3 linked regions of the Oreochromis niloticus genome follow. The protein of the gene in region 1 binds, or shares a complex with, the protein of each later gene. Links are inferred from orthologs where the notes say so. Each region holds a gene or a part of one and is shown in the gene's direction. Other genes may lie near its edges.

What was found.
Region 2: snrnp40 (region 1) and cwc22 share a complex: the UniProt entries of both Homo sapiens proteins name them as parts of the minor spliceosome. The link is inferred for Oreochromis niloticus from reciprocal best matches to the Homo sapiens genes SNRNP40 and CWC22.
Region 3: snrnp40 (region 1) and cd2bp2 share a complex: the UniProt entries of both Homo sapiens proteins name them as parts of the U5 snRNP complex. The link is inferred for Oreochromis niloticus from reciprocal best matches to the Homo sapiens genes SNRNP40 and CD2BP2.

Annotation. Positions count from the first base shown.
Region 1 is NC_031985.2:22,356,360-22,364,169, forward strand, and holds the start of snrnp40 (U5 small nuclear ribonucleoprotein 40 kDa protein), read left to right. Parts: upstream 1-4,735; 5' UTR 4,736-4,856; coding exon 4,857-4,967; intron 4,968-7,810. Other genes in the region: zcchc17 (zinc finger CCHC domain-containing protein 17), read right to left, coding at 133-303, 573-709, 826-926, 1,013-1,104, 1,328-1,428, 3,131-3,269. UniProt on the Homo sapiens protein: Required for pre-mRNA splicing as component of the activated spliceosome. Component of the U5 small nuclear ribonucleoprotein (snRNP) complex and the U4/U6-U5 tri-snRNP complex, building blocks of the spliceosome.
Region 2 is NC_031987.2:24,052,843-24,060,761, forward strand, and holds the start of cwc22 (pre-mRNA-splicing factor CWC22 homolog), read left to right. Parts: upstream 1-4,912; 5' UTR 4,913-5,006; intron 5,007-5,728; 5' UTR 5,729-5,730; coding exon 5,731-5,785; intron 5,786-6,775; coding exon 6,776-6,996; intron 6,997-7,919. UniProt on the Homo sapiens protein: Required for pre-mRNA splicing as component of the spliceosome. As a component of the minor spliceosome, involved in the splicing of U12-type introns in pre-mRNAs. Promotes exon-junction complex (EJC) assembly.
Region 3 is NC_031969.2:29,120,808-29,128,133, forward strand, and holds the start of cd2bp2 (CD2 antigen cytoplasmic tail-binding protein 2), read left to right. Parts: upstream 1-4,319; 5' UTR 4,320-4,435; intron 4,436-4,633; exon of another isoform or gene 4,634-4,682; 5' UTR 4,683-4,686; coding exon 4,687-4,761; intron 4,762-6,127; coding exon 6,128-6,257; intron 6,258-7,326. Other genes in the region: pheta2 (sesquipedalian-1), read right to left, coding at 1-223, 518-818, 916-996. UniProt on the Homo sapiens protein: Involved in pre-mRNA splicing as component of the U5 snRNP complex that is involved in spliceosome assembly.

The DNA of each region.
Region 1 (7,810 bases):
TTATCACATGTTTATATTTACAGCGCTTCCCTTCAAGTTTTGAACTTGACAGATAGTGAATGAAGGTTTAGATATTAAAGCTGGAAGTCTTTCTCTCAGTCTGCTGCCAACCACTTTCCCCCTGTGTGTGTCTCAGCTGTGTTTGTGCGATTTGTGCTTTTTGTGTCTCTTCTTCTTCTTGTCGTCTCTGTCACGCTCATGTTCTTGTCGCCTCCTCTTGGATTTACATTCACTGCTGCTGCTGCTGTCGCTCTCAGACTCCTTCCTCTCCCTCTTCTTACTCTTCTTCTTTGCTTTCTTTTCCTGGAGAATAAGCGTTAAAAACAAAGAAGTTGCACAAAAAAGCAGTTTCAATACCTAAAAACCCAAACACTGAAGTATGTTCCTCTTAAATCAGCACAAAATCATTTTTCCAGGCAACAGACTTCCAATGTGGTCACAACAGCATGTCATGCAGAGAGACATGTGGGGGTTGTTGCATCAGATGAAAGAGAAAGAGAGAATCAGCAAAGGAAAGTTAGAGCGGAAAAGGAAGCGAGAGCTGTGCAGGGCTTTAAAGGTCACATCGTCACCTTCTTTTTCTTCTTTTTGTCTGAATCTTGATTTTGTGCAGCTGTAGATGGTTGCTGCTCTGGCTCTTTATCGTCCTCTTCAGGCAAGAGAGCGTACTGCAGGCCAGGAGCAGAGAAACAGTCCTTTGTAAAGTGACCTGAAGAGAGTAATAATTTATTTAAGAACCGCGGTGTGAATTCAAGCAAATCAGCCATCTGTGTGAAACAAGCACAGTCTCTTTGACACATCACACTACTCATGATGTCACCTCACCCTTGCAGCCGCACTTTGAACACGTTGTGTTGAGCACAGCCTCCAGCGTGATCCTGTTGCTGGTTTGGTCTCTAAACTGCTTACGCCGCCTTGAATCCTGCCTATAAACACACACAGAGACGTTAACAACACACACACACCTGTGCAGACACATGAAAACACACAAAATGAATCCGTAAGCACTTACTCTGCCATAACATTGTTGGGGTCCAAGTCCCGCCCTGTTCCCTGATTGACGGCTTTCATGGAGAAAGACAGCTTCACCTTGTCACCCTGAATCTAATGAGCAGAGGAAGAAGCTGTAAACTTTCTGCTCAGTGTGTGTACTTCTGTGACTATCTTTATGAGAACCAGGTTGTATTTGAGACCACTGGAGTGGCAGTTTCTGACACCCTTTCATGTTTAAGGGTAAAGACGGGCTTTTAATGTAGCCTTTCTGGGGTTTGAAGCTGAAGAATACCTTCATTTAATGAATGTTGTCCAAAACGTGTGATATTGTTACCTCTCTCCCTATGACTTTAATCCACACATGTTCTCCCACATCCACAATTTCTGAAGCGCTCTCAACCCGGGAAGCTGACATCTCACTCACATGTACCAGACCTGTGAAAACAAAGGACAAAGCTCATTTACTTAGATATCACCTAAAATACATTTATAGTTTCAAAAGTCTTAAGCAAACCCTCATGTCTTTATATTTGGAACCAGACTTTCTTTCGTAATTTTTAAAACGGTCAAGAGCAACAGTTCTTCAGCCCTTTCTGAAGGCCAAATGCCACATTACACAAGAAGTGGATTGAAAATCAGTTGCAACAGGTCTTATTGAGTTATGAATCCAAAATTATTATTATTTTTTTTTGCTCATATCGTTGTCAGTATGTACAGAGGAGGTCATGAGAGAAGTACAAGAGTGTCTACAGCCATCTGTAAAACATGATACCAATGCAGCAAAAGCACACCTAGATAGGAAAACTTATAATGCAACACCATCAGTCATGGATTAGCCTCCCATGAGCTCAGATTTCAGCATTATTGAAACAGTGTGGGATCATCTTTACAGAGAATGGAACAAACAGCAGCCAACATCCAAAGAAGGACTTTGAATGTCCTTCAAAAAGCCTGGAGAACTATTCCTGAAGACTACCTAAAGAAATTACAAGAAAGTTAGGTAAGAGAGTTAAGGCTGTTTTGAAATATAAACGTGGTTATAACAAATATTAACTTTTGAGCTCATTAGAATACAAACTCTGTATTTCCATTCATGTTTGCACAGGTTTGAATAAATCACTGCACCCATTTTTCTCTTTCCCAGCAAAATATAAAGAAATAAGGAGTGCCTCAAGACTTTTGTACAGCACTTTATGGTCAGCATTAATGACCTACAGAAAAGGTTGACACATGAATACGTGTTGGATGACAAATGAAAACCCAAATACTAAATTAAGAATCAAACTTATTTCCGGCTGTTATCAAGCTTCAAAAACATTTGACCAACTAAATCATATAACTGTGGCTTAATCATTACATCTACTTCAAACCACTTTAACTGACTCACTTCAAAGGGAGTGTAATTTAAATGAAGCAAACAAGTTCTGTCCAAAACATTTTTTTAGGCTACAGGTTATTAAAGTGTGAGCACAAGTTGTTCAGTTCGCCCTCCAGTGGTGAAAATGAACAGCTGCTGTTTAACTGGACATGTAGGTCAAGGCCAAGCCACAATAAATCATACTTCATTATCAAAGAGGTAACCCAAGTGTAAATATAGATACGAGTCATCCCACTTCATCAACGTGTCCCACTTCTTATCAACCCCGCCCAAACCCATCCTCCCACACCTCCTGTCTGTACACACACATCTTCAATTTCTGTTGCTATGAAGATAACACAAATGAATTATAATAGAAGAAACTATGATTGTACTAATAAACCAAAAAGAAAAAAAAAGATTTAAACATAACAACAATGTGAAATGTCTTACTTTGACCTGTGTCTTTGAAGTCTTCCGGCCTTGTCTTCTTACTCACAGTGAGACAGTACACTAATTCAATTCAATTCAATTCAATTCAATTTTATTTATATAGCACCAAATCATACCAGCAGTCACCTCAAGGTACTTTGTATTGTGAAGTAAAGACGCTACAATAATAGACAGAAACCCCAATAATCAAATGACACATTAAGAGCAAGCATTTGGCACCAGTGGGAAGAAATCCCCAGCAGAGATCTCCAGACAAAACAACACTTTTTTTTTTTTCTTTCTCCTTTAACCTATTTTTCATCTGAATAATCAAATGTTTTCACTGACCTTCCTTCCTGTATCCTGGCAGTCGGACAAATGCTCCATAAGTTTGCACTGAAACCACCTCTCCTTTGGCAATGCTGTACAGTGGTGGCAAACCATCCAGCCCAGCCGGCTCTGATGTTCGGCGGTCACGGTCGGACATCGTCTCAAAACAGCCACGGTTACCAATAACTGAATCTTGCACTTGGATTCCCACAATCCCTGAAATGGCAGATCAGGTGCATTTATGATCTCTGTTTTAATCTTAGTGAGTTTAAACTCTGTTCGCTCAGAATAAACTAATTCTAATTTTCCAAAAGTTGAATCTGTTCATCTGGACGTAGCGTTTTGTGGGAGAAACGTTTCGTCACTCATCCAAGTGACTTCTTCAGTCTCAGCTGACCTGCAAACAAATTCTAATTTGTTTATTTGTAGGTCACATTCTTACATGGCGGGTACTTTTGCATTGTATTTGAATTTATACATCAGTTTTCTAGTCTTTATGACCACTTTAAACTACAAGCACGCTTTAACTATACATTCATGCAGCACTTTTAAGCACTTTATTCACCTCACAACCACAGCCAATTTAGAATCACATAACATGTATGTCTTTGGAGTGTGGCCAGAAGCCCAAGTACCTAGAGGAAACTTGACACCAAAAGGCCACTGCCAGGTTCTTTCCTGGTGTAAAGGCAACGGTTCTCACTACCCCATGATGATGGCATCCTATTTCAGATCTTGTGTCTGTGCCAAGGCACCCTCTGACCTCTGTATGACCTCAATATATGAATACTTCTATGCCGATTTATTATTCCATGAATGGAATGTACCATTTTAAAATTCCCTAAAACCAACATTTTCTGTTATTTAAACCACACTGGTGGATCTAAAATCCATCTGAATAGATACGACCTAGAACAGCCTCATTGTACAACACTATGAATTTTTAAACATTTTCATTTTCGTGTATTTTGGGTCACTTTAGGAAAAGTCATGAAATTTCATGCTAAAACAAAGACATATTTTTTTTTACTGAAGTCAAATGTCAACACAGTTCATTTGACCCTAACAGTATTCAAAGGCTAAATCTAAAAAGAGATTTTATTATGTGCACTGATTATTTTACCCCCACTTTAAACTCGCATGCTGACTTGCTATTCAGCCGTGTCATATTTTTGTACCTGAAAGTGATTTTTATGAGCTTCACAGCTGTGTTGAATCTCTTGGATAGCAATAAAAACCTATTAGACTCACTTTTTATCTCAAACACAAAAACTGAATGGAACAGCAGCTCCTCGGCTAATGTTAGCCACACTAAAGAGCTATAATAAATGAATAAACAGATATTGAATAAATAAAATATGAACAAGAAAATAGGCCCGCGCCTGCTTAACGTTCTAGTTTATACAAATAAATAAACATAACGTCATGCAGCAATAATTTAAGAGAAAATAATTTAAAAATGATATCAGCGTTACCTTTCGGATTGATACGATGGTTATTTTACATCCGGTTCAAAACGTTTCAACAACAAGCGAAGCGGCTAATCTGCTGCTCACAATCAGCCAATCATCTTAGCCTTTGCAAACCTCGACCAATAGTATTCCTCGCACTCACAGGAAGTACTTCTTCTGTGTTGATACGTTGGTGCTACTTCCTCCGACGTCTCGTATGAAAGACGTCCATTCATTTTTTGTAAATTGTAGCATTAAAGCTTTAGATTTTTGCGGATTTTTGTCCTGTAAAGATGATTGAGCCTATGAAGAGAGCGGCAGACATGGCGGTGGTTCCTTCCGCCGTGAAGCGGCCCCGGACGGAGCTGATAGCGGCGGCGCAGTCTCAGCAACTCGTGGCCACGGTACGGAGGGTAGCTGTTACTACAACCGAGAGGGGTGGCTACTGAAGTAGACTCAAACATTTAGAACAAGTAACCACACTATACTGTGTACGCTTTATGATTAATTATATATAAAGCCGCTTGGAAAAAAGTCACATTTTCCCTTTGTGGTGATTTTAGATTCATTATCTGGGCTGCCAGCGAGACAGATAAACATGAAAATAAAATTAGCACAGCATTAGCGCTCACTTTGATGCTTTTTACAATGTCTCCTACACCCAGCTGGATTTGGGTAAACTATTGTTGTTTAAAAAGAGTTTTTAAAGTGATCACAAAACATGTTCTTTTGTATTCTGGTTTAATGTTTTATCTTTTAAGGATAGAAACCCTCTCAGCACCATTGATAACACCAGCTCCAAAATAATGGGGGTCAGGCAAAGAGATTTGTGTTCACACTGAGAAACTCGGGTGATAAAGAAAGTAAAAGACATTATTAACTATCTTGACCACCATTTCTATTCTGAATTCAGGAAGTTACTCCCAGGTAACCCCTACTTTATATGTCAGTGTAGAACAAATAGATACTTAAAGTCTTTTATTCCTTTGGCTGTTAAATCACTTAACTCTGACATTTCGACTATTCAAGATGGGGCTAGGATTATGTCAGAGTTCGGCTCTGAACCCCTTTCTCGTTTGCAGTCTTGATGGACAGGCTGAAAGATGAGGCCAGGCAGGAGTCTCAGTAGACTATGATGTCTGCAGCCGATCTGTAGTGAGAGGAGGGAGCAGGGCGAAGACAGCCTGGTGAGGTGGAAGTATGTGGTGGAGAGAAGAGGAATGAAAGTCAGAAGACACAAAACAGAACACGTGTGTGAATGAGAGGGAGACACATCAAATTCCAGTCTGATGGGAGGTGTAACAGTGAAGGTATATGAGTTTACATAAATGGAATCAAACATCCAAAGCAACGCAAAGCATTAGAGAGGGGAAGAAGAGAGTGCAGCCAGGATGGAGTCGATGGATTGTGGAAGAACAGCAGCAGGAGGAAAAGGGAAGATGGCAATGAGACCTGCTGTATGTATGGTTTGGATGGTAGATGATGGCACTGAGAAATTGAAAACGCTCAGATTTACATTGGGAAGGACCAGAATGGACAATATTAAAGATGGTTGCATCAGAGGGACATTGCAGATTGAGTGGTTAGAGAGGGAGCTGAGATGGTTTGGACATGTGCAGAGGAGGGATAGTGGACACAATGAACAAAGGATGTTGAAGATGGAGGAAATAAGGAAGACCTCAGAGAAGATTCACTGATGTAGTGAAGGATGTCATGCAGAGGGTTGGTGTGACAGAGGAGGATGCTTGGGATGGAGTGAGATGGAGGCAGATGATCTTTGCAGATCGTCTTTATTCGCATTAAAACACCGGCATTGCATTAAATATGACCTTGACATTTGTTTTTGAGACTATTATAAAAAAAAAACAACACTTTGACCCACTTTCACAGTCCATATCTGATTTTATAATAAATTATAAATACAAGCTAAAAATGTCCAGTATGATTAAACCGGATAAGTTACCTGAATATTTATAAACAAGATATTCAAACCTTTAATCGTCTGCCTCCAGATGTATCAGTTCTTTCTCCAGTGCTTCTACCCTCCCAGGTCACCTGCCAGGACGCGTTTCTATACCAACAGCTGCCTTTGCATCCCGGCTTTTGTTCCCACAAAGAAAACTGATCAGGAATCAAGAAAGAATTGATAACGGTAGCCTCTCCGATACTATTTTTTTAGAACGAGGATGTAGACAGGGGTGTCCAGCAAGCCCTTACCTCTTCAACTTGTTTATCGAACCTCTAGCCCAGGCTATACGTCAGGAAACATCGTTGAAAGGGATTGTAATAGGAGGGGACGAGTACAAGGTGTGTTTATACGCAGATGATGTCTTGGTAACAATCACGGATCCCAGCTCAGGTATACCAGTATTAATGGGGATGTTGGAAACATATGGCCTGTATTCAGGGTATGTTCTTAATGTCAAAAAAACTCAAGTTCTGACATTTAATTTTTCTCCAGACCAGACATTATTGTCAAAATTCAAGTTTAATTGGAAGGCAACTGCTATCAAATATTTAGGAGTGTTTCTGCCTAAAGATCTAACACAACTGTATGATATTAATTACAGTCGTATTAATAGAGAAATATATAGCGATCTCAACATTTGGGCCTTGCTCCCTCTTGACCTTGGCAACAGGATACAGATAATTAAAATGAGTATTCTTCCCAAACTACTCTATCTTTTCCTTGCTTTACCTATTCAAATTCCAGAGAAGCAGTTCAGGGAATGGAATAAACAGATTTCGAGATTCATTTGGCTTAACAAAAGACCAAGGGTGAAGTTCTCTACTTTGCAGTTGCCGAAAGAAAAAGGGGGCTTGGCTCTACCTTCATTAAGGGATTACTACTTATCTGCTCAGCTGAGGTCTTTGGTGTGTTGGTGTAATCCATCTTTTTGTGCGAGGTGGAAGGCGATTGAGATGTCTCTTTCGGACACGCCAATCCAGTCTAGACTTGGTCACACAGCTTCTGAATTGGACGGTACCTTGACGCCCAGCCAATGGGTCACTTTTACATTAAAAATATGGAGGGGAGTGGTCAAGCAGGCACAACTACAGGAAGAGATAAAACTTCTGAGGTGGCCAGCGTATGACCCTGATTTTTTACCTGCTTCCCACGATAGTAGATTTAAACAATGGGTGTGCCATGGAATTACTGCTAGGTGTTCGGTTATTGTAAAATCTAAAATTATGGCTTTTGATACCCTATGCAAGACTTACGACCTCGAGAAACAAGACTTTTTTC
Region 2 (7,919 bases), on another chromosome or scaffold:
GTGGCTCAGCTCAGAGGGAAAAAGAATCACTACTCACAATCATTTCTATTGTGAGCTTCGGGAGATTTTCTTTGTGTACAAGCTGCGACCAGGCGTTTAGGCTCAAATCGCTTTGATGTCTTCAGGCCTGCAGTGCTGGGGAATTTAAACTTCCCTCAAATATGTTAAACATAAGGTAACAGGCCTGCTTTGAAAATGAAAGGAGTAAAAAGTACAGATATCCATGTTAAAATTTAAGGAGTAAAAGTTATAAGTTATCAGAAAAATAAAAACTCAAAGTGTAGGTACCTGAAAATTCTACTTAAGTACAGTAACTAAGTATTTGTATTTCGTTACTTCCCACCTCTGATGTCCAAGGGTTCTTGACTTCAAGTAGTCATTGACTGCAAAGGATTCCTAAACATAACATCATCTAAAATGATGTTAGTCTGTTTAATTTGAGACTGAAAATGGGTGCTGTGTATAAAAATTGATGTACTTCCTAGGGATGTTAACCTACTATTGATCATGTGAGTTGTCACATGAGCAAAGGTGTGAAAACATGAGTCATTCCCATCACCTGGCCGACAACTGAAACCTCTGTGAGACCTTGCCCCACCCCACCATCATGTGAGCTGTATGTCACTTAAATGTGAAGAGACTTAAACAGTGGATGCTGCAAGCCAGTCCACAAATGCAACACGGGAGGACAAGACTCAGTGGCACACCTGCAATACCTAAGAAAGGACACGCTTCCCAGGATGCCAGTGTTCACATTTTGGACAAAGACAATTGGTTTAAGAGAACAGTAAATGAGGCCATGTATGTCCACTATGATCGACCATCTTTGTGGGTTATGACTTCTCCAAGGGAACAGCCCTCCCTAGTGGTGCATGTCACCTGGGACTCTGCACCAGTTGTTCTATGAATGACAAAGCCTCTTGGATGATAAGTGAAACATCCTGAAAATATCTAAAGAAGTCAAATTGCCTTCTTTTTAAGCTCTCAATATTACTGGCCAGTAAGAAGTATTACTCACAGATCATCAGGTTTCTGCACACTTTGTGAAACACCCTTTTTCCACCTTATTCTTCAATGGTCAAGTCAGTCACCTGATCTCAGCCCAGCAGAGTGTGCTATTTAGTTATTAAATACAAAACTAAATGCATAAAGACCCACAAATAAGAAACAATTGGAGGAGACTCCAGTAAAGGCTGAGCAGAGCTTCTCAAAGGAGGAAACACAGCATATGGTGATATTGAGAGGATTTACTTAAGTAGAAGTACAAATAGTTTTGTTTAAAAAGTACTGATTCAACTTCTAGTAAAGTAAAAGAAAATCAATAAAATCTTTTTACAATAAATTGTTTTTACTTTAAATACCCATTTATTGAATACTATATATCATCTTCTTTCTGATATAAAATAGGTTTCTTTTCCTCCCTAACTGCTCTGTCACAAAACGAAGCTGCGATGGCCGGGAATCGAACCCGGGTCAACTGCTTGGAAGGCAGCTATGCTTACCACTATACCACCATCGCTATAAGCACATCTGGAATCGAGCTTCTGTTGTGTCGCCAGTTTATATGGTTGTATAAAAACAGCAGGAAGAAAAGAAGCATTAGGGCTGCTCAGTTAATCGAATTTTAATCTCGATTACGATCTGGGTTTTCAACGATCATTAAAAATGACTGAGCCGATTATTAGCACCTCCCTCGTGCTTTACTCTCGCGCTGCTCCGTGTGGCAAATCGAGCGCACCTCTCTGCGTTTCGAACACGCGTCACAACAATTAAGAGGACCCGAGGGAAGCTCGGAAAGCTAAGCAGAAGTTATTTGGAGAGGAGAGGATAATGGCTGCTGAAGAAAGAATGCCGTTGGTTGAAAAGAGAGGTAAAACGACTCCAGTGGTGTGGAAACCAATGTTCCCTCTAAGCTGCGCACGTGCGCAATTGCGCACTGCTGGCACGGTCTCTGCGCACAGAAAATCTGCGTTGCGCACAAAAAAAATCTAACCTGAATTGAAATTAAAATTAAAACTTTAACAATTCTGTTTTGCAGTGTTAGTCAGTAAGTGACTGGCTGCTCCTGTATGGGATTAGAACGATGCCACCTTATCCTATAGTCCAGCCAATAATGCGATTCACATTCGTATATACGCAGCCAATCAACGTTGTTGACAGGCTATGACAGCGTCCTTATGTGCCGACACCGGTGTTTTAGCTAGCAAAGCGGCGTGGCTGATGTGCAGAGAAGCCACATTAATGACAACGTGTACAACCATTGGAGATGTGAGCAGGACAGACGGAACAATTGACGGACTTTATACCAGTTTTTAAATTGTGTTGATAGGCCACGTAAAACCAGAGTTATGATAAAAATATCTGCAATGTTTGGTTTTCTTCCTGAATACTATCGTTGTTTATATTTACTGCGGGAAGAAATGGTAAAAACGGCGTTTTATAAGGAAAACGCTCGAAAGCACTCTCCGCCTGTGAGCAAAAACAAAACCAAAAAACCCCCCACCCTTTCCTATTGGTCAAAAAATGTACCATGTCGACCAATCAAAAAATGATTTGCCAACGTGGCATCTAGTTGTTAAGAAACGGGGGGAGTTTTAGGAGTGACGGCGGTGTTCTGAGATGTGAGAGATTTGAGACGTTTAGCGCAAATCTTGTGTAGTTAGTGTGTAGTCAGTGTGTAGTGTAGTCAATAGTTTTGTTGTGTGTGTCAGAACAATGAGGCGACTGCTGAATGTTACAGGTGTTACAGCAGTGATACAGCTCCTGTTGTCAGGCCTGCAGGTATCAGGCTGTTGTTCTCCTTTATCTCATATTGGACAGAAATTATTTTTTGGAGTGGCGCAAATAATTTGTGTGGCATCAGATTTGATGCAGAACAGCTGATTGTTCTGTAAATAGTTTGAAATGTTTATTTAAAAAAACGCCTTGGCTGCATTAAAAAAAATAAATAGCTGCAAAAAACTTTGTTGTTTGCCAAACCGAGTTACTTTTTTGAAGTAGTAACTATATAATTAATTGCCCAACATTGGTCATTATATACTGTATTTTGCAGACAGAGAGTTATAGGACTCTCTCCCAGACCACAGACTCATAATACAAGTCAGAGCTTTATGAAAAAAAAGAAAAGAAAGAAAGTTGTGTTTTCAAAATTGGAGTTCAAGTTATTTTTACTTCCAATAGTGTTAACATACTACACAGGTCATGAACAAGATTTTTTAAATTTTCATTGTAAGTGGGCTAAAGCAGTTAATTAAAAGTAGTCTAACATAAATGTAAATGCTGTAATTTGATTATTTTAATAAACCATGTAACTTGGATGGATTAGATGCTGGCGTGACCACAGTGCACACGTCTGATGTCTCACAGTGGTCCAAGGCAGCGGTCCCCAACCTTTTTTGCGCCACGGACCGGTTTATGCCCGACAATATTTTCACGGACCGGCCTTTAAGGTGTCGCGGATAAATACAACAAAATTTAAAATTTCCAGTTTATCAAATACCCCTGAGCAGTACTTGCCTTTTGGTATTCTTCCTGTCCTCTCTTCCTTACATTGTTCTCCATCTCTGAGTGAACTTAACTCTTATTCTTTTCTCTTTTCTCCCAGTTTTACCATTAGCAAGTGTGTGTTTGTGTGTTGAGCTTTTAGAAATTTTGCGTTTGAACTGACCTGCCGCAACACGTTCTTCCTTTTATGCTCCTCTTTAGTAGTGCTAGCTAGATGCTGAAGTACCGTGAAGACTACGTCATTGTCGGGGGCCTTTTAAACCCGAGCACACTGCTATAAATAACGCAGAAACTATATGTTTTTGCCTCTTTCATCTCTGTATGCAATGGAGTGATGGATACACCAACAGGGTTGTATTTTATGTGTTATTAATCCCTCCGTTTAGGCTCAAATCGTTTTGATGTCTGAAGGCCTGCAGTGCTGGGGAATATAAACTTCCTTCAAATATTTTAAAAATAAGCTAATGGGATTGTACGGAAGAGGATTAGGGCCACTGGGAAAAAAAGTGCGCAGGTCTTTTTTTTTTTTCTTCTTTTCCAGAATTCTAAGAAAAAAGTCAACTGTTTACAGTTGTCTTGTTTTCAAGCTCTCAGTATAACTGGCCAGTGCTTTTCCTACCTTTAAACCTACACACACAAAAAAAGAAGTATTACTAATGGAAATGGGGCTTACTCACAGAACTTCACATTACTACACACTTGGTATTATGATATAGTAAACCATATGACAACATTATTTTTCCTGAATGTTCTTCCATAACTGTTCTAAAAAACTAAACAGTGATTTAATGTGTCCTCCCATACAGCTGAAAGTCTTTCTGTGCCTCTCTATGTTCAAAGATTTAACAAATAAGGTATTCATGTAAAAACAAATTTAAAAAAAAAAAAAAGTGTTTTTAAAATATAAAGTCAAACCTTTGGGTTGATTAGTCAAATAAATTTTGTGTATGGTATCTGGAAATTTTGAAAATTCCCACTTGCTCAGCATCCCAAAACTTCAAGGCACTCAGAAGTAAGTAAAAACTTCAGGATGCTAAGTGAAAATTTTCACATATGCAACTCTAAACTTTGAGTGATTAAGTAAATAAACTAAGATTTATTTATTTATTTAGATATTTAGATTTATTTAGATAAATAAAGCTTTGTTTTGAAGCTCAATATTCCCTTTTAAACCACAACTGAGGACCTTGAAAATAAAAAAAACCCAGAATGAAACAATAAATGAACAAATTTCATGTGTACACAAGGCCCTGTGTGTTTGTTTTACTTTATTTTATACACTTTTTTTCTTGTGTTACAACTTTATTTATAAATATTAAATTCTGAAATAAAGTTAAACTGGAAAAGAAAAAATAACAACAAAAACAGTAAACCAAACTTCACAAACTGCGTTTATTGTGAAATCCGGAAGCGATCTGTCACCCGGAAGTAATGTTGGTTATTATAGGAAGTTTTCCGCCAGACGAACGACAGTGATTTAAGGAAAGCCGGGAAATTGTATGGTAAGGACATTAAAACCCAAACAAAGCAATTTAGCTCGACAGACCTTCTGTCAAAGTACGAAGGAAATAAAATCTTAAAGGTTTTAGTGACAGCAATTAGTAGCGAGAAGCTTAGATCGCAATAGCCGAGACAGCATTAGCACACAAGCTAACTTTAGCTCAGCTTAACACACATGGCGATAAAACTGAGGAGTTGATTTGAAAAGACGTTTTAGTAACGCGTGGTGTTGCTGTTTCAAGAACCTTCCCAAAATATGTTTATTCGGCTATTAAGACGTACAAACTTGATCATTTGGTAATATTTACCTCAGGAAATGCCCAGTTACCATATTGTTACCTCTTCCGTCCGTTGGCAATGATAATTTTTGACTCTGTTCGGCGATTAAACATTACCAGGAAGTCATCATCCCTCTTATTTTATCGTTAATCACTCACAAAACGCTTAATAAACAGTAAGTGTATCCTTTGCTCTGCATTGAGTATTGGTGATTTAATGTAAAGTTTATCCGGAGCAGACTAATGTCAAATCAACAAGTCTGTAAACAGTCCTTCGTAGAAATACGTGGATCGTGTCAGAGAACCATGTCAGAAAGTTATTAAATCTTATTAACTCATTTACATGTTTTTTTTTTTTCTTTTTTCCTAATGTAACGGGGTTTGTGGAAATGCATTTTACCTATCAAAGTGAATGTCTTAGTTGTCTTCCCCCCCCCCCCTTCCAGGTATGGACTCTGCAGACAGAAGTCGAAGTCCCAGTCCTGCACAGAGAGAAAACAGTGGTGAGTAAATGCTGCTGTGAACCCTACACTTAATGTTCTTGTAATAAGAGTTGCTTTAATCTCCATCCGTTATACTTGAGCAATACGATGTTGCAATCGTTAGCTGTCACCTCACAGCAAGAAGGTTCTGGGTTTGAGTCCAGCAGCCGGGTCTTTCTGCATATTTTCTTTGTACCCCTTGCTGGGAACTCTGGTGTGCTTTCACCTGTTAGTCCTGATTTAGATTTCTGCGGTGAATCTTTGTAGAGCTAACGACATAATTTACGTGTTGTGTTTGTGCTGGTGCATTATGTCTAAATTAATGTGTGGGTCTGTGTACATGTTTTTCATTCAGTACCAGTTGATAGAAACAAATAAAATGCACGGACCTTTTCCCTCCAGTTTTGTAGTGGTCAGTTTTTTTTAAAGGCAAATATATTTGTCTCAAGTTTTTCATCTTCTTTGTACATTCCCACACGTCCATTTTAATAGTTTTGGCAGTTTCTCCTCAGGAATTTGCTGACATTTGTGAGTCCTTATATTGATGCTATAATTATTATCTGTTATGTTGAGATGATGATTGTTATTCTCTCACTGATAAATTCAAAAACTGCTGTGAAAAAGTAGCCTGAAATGCATGAGAAGAATCTATTGGTGCAACATGTAATTAGGTTGCACTGTAGGGTGCACGGTATGAATGGTAACAGAAACAGCGTTTTTGTGGTTAGCTGGTGTCCATTTTATTTGTTTAGTTGTTTGACTGTCCTTCACCTACGTGGCCACCAGGCATATGGGTTAACAAGTTTCGCAAAGTTTGCGGTTATGGCGTAGCTATTGAATAGTCATAGTCCAAAGCATAAGTCTCCGGTTAGCCCTGTGAGAGACTGGTGACCTGTTCGATGTCTACCCTGCCTTCTGCCCCACAGTATCCCTAAATTGAGTAAGTGGAAGAAGAAGGATATGTTGAATGGATATACTAATACTGCTCTTGATCTATTTTTCTCTCTGCAGGACCTTCAGAGAATGACTCTAGTCCAGCATCAGGCAGACCCCAGCAGGCTGGCTCAGTTGAAAGAAGCCCCAATGAGCGACGGTCCCCACAGCCAAGTCCTGTGGGCCGCAGGCCCTCCAGGAGCCCATCCTCAAGCAGTTCAGACAGCACCAGCAGCAGTGATGAGGATGAACATCATTCAGCACTGAGAAAGATTCGAAGCAGCGTGGCTCAGATCAAAGTAAGAAATGTGGCTTTTACTAGTCTGTCACATTTCATAATGTACAGACTACTGCGGTAGAAATGGAAGAATCAGATGCTTTCAGACAGTTACAGAGGGTGAAACATATGCTGAAAGCCTTTTTTTATATTTATAAATATATATATTGTATATTATAATTCCTCATCAATCAAAAATGTTGAGTTTGGAGTGAGAAATGCCATTAATAGTAGGTGGAGTAAGTAAGTTGATTTCCCCAATATATACCGAACAATAGTTGAGATTCACAGTATTAATAAAAATGATCCGGCCAAAACAAGAAATTCAGAAACACCAAAATCTTAAAAAGTTAATGCAGTCAGATGCATTGGTAACTGGAGTTTAGTGATCCATGTTATGTTTTAGATACTGTCCAAAGAAGAGTTCAGGAACTGACAGTATTCATTCAGTTGATGTATTTTTGTGTGGAAATGTGAACTGAAGCATTTTGTTACTATTCTTGCCTAAAAATGATCTTGAATGTCAGAATAGTTTTGAATAAAGTACCTGAAGAAGAAGCGTATTTACTTAGTGTTTTTTCATGTTGTGCTTTTAAGACATGATTATGTTGCATTTGAAAATGTGGCTGTGCATTAGTGTGCACATTGCACAGTAGATTATTCAGGCTGCAGTTCTGGACAGCTGGTGTGAAAAACTGCTTGGTCTGAAGAGATGGTTACCATGAGAACAGGACCCAGTTTAAGCTTGAGGCACCGATGTAAGACACAGTAGCATGTTTAATGTCAGCTGGCCTGATTTATGAGTGCACCCAGTGAAGAAGACACTGAATAAAGATTTAACTTGTTGACTGACAGAATCACAAATCAAAGAGGACTTTGTTTCCATTACTGTCAACTTAGACACGAGCTCCCCAGGTGCATACAGGCTTTTACTTGATGCAGGAC
Region 3 (7,326 bases), on another chromosome or scaffold:
GGTGTGACATGAGCATGTCTCCTGGTCCAAAGTTTGGGGGACTTTTTTGCCACTGCTTTAGCTGGTATGGAAGGTGCTTGTAAAAGGGTGCTGGCACTGAAGCTCCTCCCCTCTCTGACTACTGCTGTTTGCTGTGTTGTGGCGAATAAGAAGCTGTTTGTGGGCAGCTTGAGGGCACTGACAGAGGGGTGGGACTCACCCAGGCTTTGCTGCTGCTTAGCTTCTGTGAATAGAAACCAAAATATGAACAGAGAACCCTGCTTGTATATATAAAGTGTAAAAATTTCAACAGTTAAATTTTACATTCAGGTTATGTGCTGTGATATCTCAGGACTAGGGGAAATAACTTGCTGTAATCAAACCAGACTATTCTACTTTGACGCTTTTTTAAGAGCTCAGTGAGCTGTTTAAGTACAGCCAGTTTTTTCAATAGATTAAAATCATATTGAGAAAACTGGCTGATTGAAAGCAAAAAACATGAGAATTTGATGTATAGGTGGCAGTACTCCTAACACACCTTCATACTGTCTCGCTAGGTCTTTCACCAGCATGGAGAGGTAACAGTGGCTGGCTGAGTGGAGAGCTTTCACCCAGCTCTCTTGACCCTGGCGATCTACTGCTGCAAATCTGTAGGTTTTGAGTCCAGGCCCAAACACCAGGGAGAAGGTAAAATGTCCATCGGTCTCCGAGTGCTGAACAGCACACCCTTCCAGCACAATGACACCCAGCAGGTGTCTGTCAGCTGGGCGCTCCTGGTAAAAAAGCAAGTTTGCCTTCAGGACAAACCACCGCCGGTGATAGGTGTCATTTCGGTTTTTCTATGGGGACATTTGAGATAAATAAAGTCAAACAAAAAGATTGTATTTGCACATGAAAAGTGATTTCACATTGTTTATGATGTATATCATCTCAAACCTTTTTGTTGAGATATCCCTCTTTATCCACTGGAGATGTGCACGAGAGGTAATGGGTTAAAATCTTCTCATGAAGCTTCATCACAACAACTGAAAAAGAGAGAGCGCTGATAATAATAATAATGATAATACATTTTATTTAAAAATAGCGCCTTTCAAAGCACCCAAGGACATTGTACAATGAATAAAAACACAAAAACTGGAAATATACACAGAAATAAGAATAACAGATAAAAGTTACAGAGGTTTAGACATAAGCAATTTTAAACAGATGAGTTTTGAGAGTGGACTTAAAAAGAGAGAATGAACTAATATTTCTGAGGTCAGGGGGTAAGGAATTCCAAAGCCGAGGGGCAGAGCAACTAAAAGCCCTGCCCCCCATTGTAATCAGACGAGCGGAAGGAACAGAGAGAGAAAGAGAAGATGAAGATCTGAGGCACCGGGATGGGAGGTTCATCTGTACTAAATCAGAGAGGTATGGTGGAGAGAGAGAATGAATAGCCTTAAATGTATAAAGGATTATTTTAAAATGGATGCGAAATTTAACCGGGAGCCAGTGAAGCTGCTTCAGGATTGGGGAGATGTGGTGGGTAGAAGAAGTCCTAGTAATAATACAGGCAGCAGAGTTCTGGACACGTTGAAGCTTGTTAATAGATTTTTGTGTGAGACCAAATAATAATGAATTACAGTAATCAATCCGAGAGATGACAAGATTATGGATGAGAATGGCAGTGGCATGAGGAGTGAGGAAAGGGCGGATGCGATTAATGTTACGGAGTTGAAAATATGCTGCACGTGTAACATTATTGATATGTGAATTAAAGGATAGTGTGCTATCGAGAATGACACCCAAGCTTTTCACAGAGGGAGAGATAGGGACCAACGAGTTATTGATAGTGAGAGAGAAATCGTTAATTCTGGATAATAATCGTTTAGTGCCGACCAGGAGAAGTTCTGATTTATTGCTGTTGATTCGGATGATATTTATACCAAAATCTGCACTAGATGTAACAAACACATGACAGAAGAGTGACACGGCAAAATATGCATGGCCCTTAAATTACTGTACTTGTTTTATGTGTGTCAAAGCAAGGATTTTAAAGCACTAAATGGATTTGTTGGTATGATACAAAACATCCATGAAACTTAAAAAGTAAAGGCAGGTGTTCAAGAAAAGAAATGTAAATTAAAATAAAAATGAAAAAATACTTGATGAAAATTATGAAAAGTATGTGTACTAATAAAACTAACATCAGTTTTCATCATTGTCAGGCTAGTTACATTTATTAACATGACCTGCCTGATTTTACACAAGGCTTTAATTTTTCTACATGACTGTGAGTCGACCGCATCCACAAAGTGTTGTGGATGTAGCAACATTTTGAAACAACAGAAAAAGCTAAAAAACGGACTCAAAACTAAATAAATAATTTGAAAAAATTAAGCAATGATATTTCAGGTCATCAGAGTCAAGCTTACTCTGTGTTCCTCATTACAGTGAAACCAAGCAAGACAGATTTTATCTTCTGTTTCTAGTGAAACAGTCTGCTAATATTAAAAGTGTACAGATTATTTAACTTTAATGGGTTTGTGTACCTTTAACTTTTTGCTTTTGATTTTAATGTCTTTTAAATGTGATTTGAATGAATTTTAAGCCATTTAAGCCACGCTAAATAATCTCGCCATGTCATGTCACAGAGGAACCAAAAAACTGCAATACTTGCATATATAGCAGTAAAAACTACATCCAACACAGTAAATTTATTACTGCTGTAGTGCTGTGTTCATACTGCTATTTTAACCATTATGAGCTTTTTCTATAAGTAAGTTACAGTCACGATGAAAACAGGTGTATAGCTGTGCAGCTAAATTGTATCTACCATAATCCGACAGTTTTGTCTAGTAACTATAAACAACAGTGACATAATAGAAAACGGTGACTCAGACTTACCCCTGCCAATGATAAATCGCTCACAGGGTCAGTTTGCCCTCTCGCGTGGACTTTACCTTAATTACATTCGCACATATTTTCTTTTGATTCTTGTCATTCCTGATCGTGAAGCCGATTGTTCTCCTCCAGATCCAGACAATGTTTGAATGTATAGTTTCAGGTTACTACCACCGGTTCTCCCTCATGAACAAGAGGACGAGCGTTGAAATATAAATAACTCGACCCACTTCCTGGTAACAAAACCCTGGTAACATTATATTCTCTCGCCTCTGCGCTTGAGTCTGCTTTGAGCTGATGGGTCATACACCGGCAGTTGAAACCAACCTTCCTGACAAGAAGTGCTACCTGGAAGTGAGATGCTTAGCCCTCTCACTTCTGCATTTTGTGTTACTTGATCTAAACTTAATATCAGTTAAGTTTAGATCAAGTCTCTCATTGTATGTGTAGCAAATGTCCCTTGATTCTTGAGCTTTCTTCAGAAAAAGTTAATATTTATCCATATATTTAAAAGCAGAAAAACATTAAATGACCTCCTGAAAATGTGGCTCGTCATTTCTTTGCTTGTGTCTATTTTTGACATCCACTTATCCTTTTTATCCTTATGGCCCTCAGAGAATTTAGAATCTAAAAGGCTCCAACATGTAAAGACATCCAAGGCCTTATACACTGAGGAGCCCTTTCTTGGTATATGTCTTATATACTTTGGATATTCATCGCTGCCTACTGTATTTTTGTCAGTGCCACCATCTTCACATCATGGCATCTCTCACTACCACCTTGTAAATCTTTCTTGCTGCTTTTTTTTTTCTGTTACTCATCAGCCCTCACACTTGTATCCACCAACACTCCCCTGCCTGCACTCTCTTTTTCACCTCTTTAGAGCGTTGTTGTTTAGTTTGGATGGTTGATCTACTTTCACTACCTCTAGCATTTGCAGCTTCACTGTTACACCCGCCTCTGATTCACACACATGTATTCTGTCTTGCTTCTACTGACTTTCACTATTCTCCCATCTCATGCATTTTCTTCCTTCATCACCACCTCTAAGTCTAAGAACTTTCTCTTTACTCATTAGTACTTTTCTATCTCTATCTTTAACAACTAAATCCTATCCAGCTCGACCTCTCTGCCTAACCAATCGTTACAAGTTCTTTTCTCCTTTCTTAGTGTCCAGCCTCACACACAACTCACTATATACGTCTGTAATACACGTATTTCTGAAATATACAATCCAATTTCCCCAAAGTTGATTCTGTTCATCTAGCTTTATCAGTGGATGATTCAGTGATTCAGTGAACAGAATCAATTTTGGGGGATTTTTACTTACCTGGATGATTGAGCATGCATCGAGACAATACAATACAATTCATACTCCTCGTCAGCTGGTGGCGGTAGTGCGCCTTATCATTGTTTGTTAACGACAAAGTGAAAACATGAAAAGAAGAAACTGAGTCGAAAACGAACGTCGTTTGAATAATTTTCGGTAGGTTTTTACATCATTTTACAGCAAAACATTACTTTAATAGATTCCTTTTCATATTTCACCTATTGCGTGCAAATATTATACTCAGTAAGTGTTATTTCACCTCTACAAAGGCGTTTTGAGATGTAGTATTTGTTTTGCATGTGGTTTGTAGCTCATGTTTTTGGCTAACATGTTAGCCACAGAGCTAACCCGAGTTGCATGTTCACGGCTAATTATTACAGCGTTACAGGGTTACGCGCCTTAAAAGTTTAATAAAACTGCGCAAGTAACATCACAGCTCACCTTCAGTTGTCGCACAGGAATAAAACAGTCACTGTTTTTCCTCCTGTAGCACCATGTCGAAAAGAAAAGTAACATTTGAGGATGGCAACGGTGAGTTTGACCTCGAAGACGATGTCCCGAATAAAAAGGTAATGCTGTCTTCTTTACACGGTTATTTAAAAAGTATAGACTGCTGTGGTGGCAGAGGTTAGCAATAATTATTTTGTAGTGCAATTAGATTCTTACTAGTTGTTTACAGCCAAGCATCACACACGTACTTTCGATATCTCCAATGTTAAAATGGCACAATAATGCGCAAGTATAAGTCAGTTACCGAAATTTAGTATTTGTCATTGTCATGGATACAGTTGTGTATATAGTCAATAATAATAGAAAGATTGTGGCTGATGCTGACACATACTTTCGTAGAGTGAAACAATCTGATGTCATCATATTGGCCTGTATTCATCTATTATGTATTTAGTGTATTGAAAAACGCAAATGTGTGGTCATTGTTTAGCAATGTAACAGCTTTTGATGTAACAAACTAGTTAGCAACATGTTCTAAAGAGACAGCTTAACGCCACATAAGCATCTGTACCAGAGATGCTCAAAGCAAATGCAAAGCTGCAGATGTTTACGTACAGTCAGGGCATGCATCTCATGCTAAATTTGGGCTTTTAACGACTTTTTTTGAGGTGTTCTTTCCCAGAATGGAATTATTGTACAGCATATATCATTGAGACTTTAAAAAACAAAAAAATAATTTGGAATTTGTCTAATCCATGCAGGGTCATAAGTGTACATGGCTGGCAGTTTGAAGTGTCACTCAGTCTGTGACTTATAGTGCACATCTGTATTCAACGTCTGCTGGACTGTCTCTTTATTAATTTAATCCTTCTCCAGTTCACACATACTTTTAAGCCCAGTCTGAATACTTTGAAGGGATTTATTCATAAAATGAATAAAACAAACTGTGATTTAAAAAGCAGCCAAAAGTACTTGGTGATGGCAGTTTCAGAGAAAGGCATAAACACTTCACAGTGTGATAGCAGTTTGGCAGGGTATTATCTGTCAAGCCCCATGGTGTGAGCACACATTTATATATCAGTCATTTATAGTTCATAGTCATCCTAAAAACACAGATGCATTGTATAAGCAAATAACTCTAGTAAAGACTATACTTGGTGGCCTAAGAATTAAATTTGATCACAGCAGAAGCAGCATTAACTGAGAGAGTTTTTCGTGTACTTTGGCACTGTTAATAAAATGTTAGAGCCTTTTTATCCTTTTTTTTTCTTTATGATCATTTTTGAGACGAAACCATTAAAAGCAAACTACTCTGTGTGTGTGTGTGTGTGTGTGTGTGTGTGTGTCTGTTTTGTTTATTTTTCAAGAACAAGTTGATGAAATAAGAGTAGTCAATATATCTTTATTTTTTTTAATTTTATGTCATTTCAGTTCACTTGGTGAAATATTTGTGTTATTTTTCTTTTTCTTCTACTCTTAAAATAGAGTTGTGAAGCTGTCAGCGGACCAGGCTCCAGGTTTAAGGGTAAACATTCCCTCGACAGCGATGAAGAGGATGAAGGAGAAGACACAAACAGCAGCAAATATAATATTTTAGACAGTGATGATGTTGAGGGTATGTTGATTATTTAAGCTGTATCTGTAACTCTTAAGTGGTCTTGGTTACTCTTCACATGTTTATTTCCCCCACACTGAGTCAAATTTAGAGCGATTTCTTTAAAGGGACAGTTTGTTTTCTTAGAATTGGGATTTTATGAGATATTATGATCCCTTTTATTTCCCCCTGGAATGTTTTGCATATAGTAGAGGTAGTGCCACTTTGGAAAAGTAATTGCTGAAGGGGATAACATATCTTAGGTCTGTTAAGTTGACAAACATTTTTGGCCAAATGAGTTTTGGTTGACTGGTGATTTCAGTGTGTCTTTGTCAGCTGAACAGATACAGAGACACATCATACAGCCTCATGTTATCTGAGCAAATTTTTGGAGGATTCACTAGAGCATTGCCTTGTTTTACTTGGCCTTCATGCATTGGTCGTAGTGTCTTTTTAGTTAGTTGTGTTGCTTTAAAGTGCAGACACACAGCACTCTTTGTATATAACTTCTACTTTGTTAACAATAGTTGCTAAACCCAAAGCATTTCGAAACACCAAATGATGAGTCACTCTGAGGGACAAGCGCTTCACCTTCTGCAGTGCCAGACAGTTTATTTGGCACTGCATGTCTTTTTCCATAGTGTTAGTCATCCAGACTACATCTAGAAAATTTCAGTTTGTGTGGTACATTCACACATGTGGTTAGGTACTCAAGGTTTTAACTGTTGGAGCATGTATTCTGAATATCACATGATTGTACTCATTTAATTGTGGGAATCCAAAGTCCTGATCAAGATTATACAGGGTGGGCCATTTATATGCATGCACAATAATAAAATGGGAATGGTTGGTGATATTAAAGTCCTGTTTGTGGCACATTAGTATATGTGAGGGGGCAAACTCCTCAAGATGGGTGGTGACCATGGTGGCCATTTAGAAGTCGGCCATCTTGGATACAACTTTTGTTTTTTCAATAGGAAGAGGGCCATGTGACACATCAAACTTATTGGTAATGTCACAAGAAAAACAATGGTGTGCTTGGTTTCAACGTAACTTTATTCTTTCATGAGTTATTTACAAGTTTCTCTTT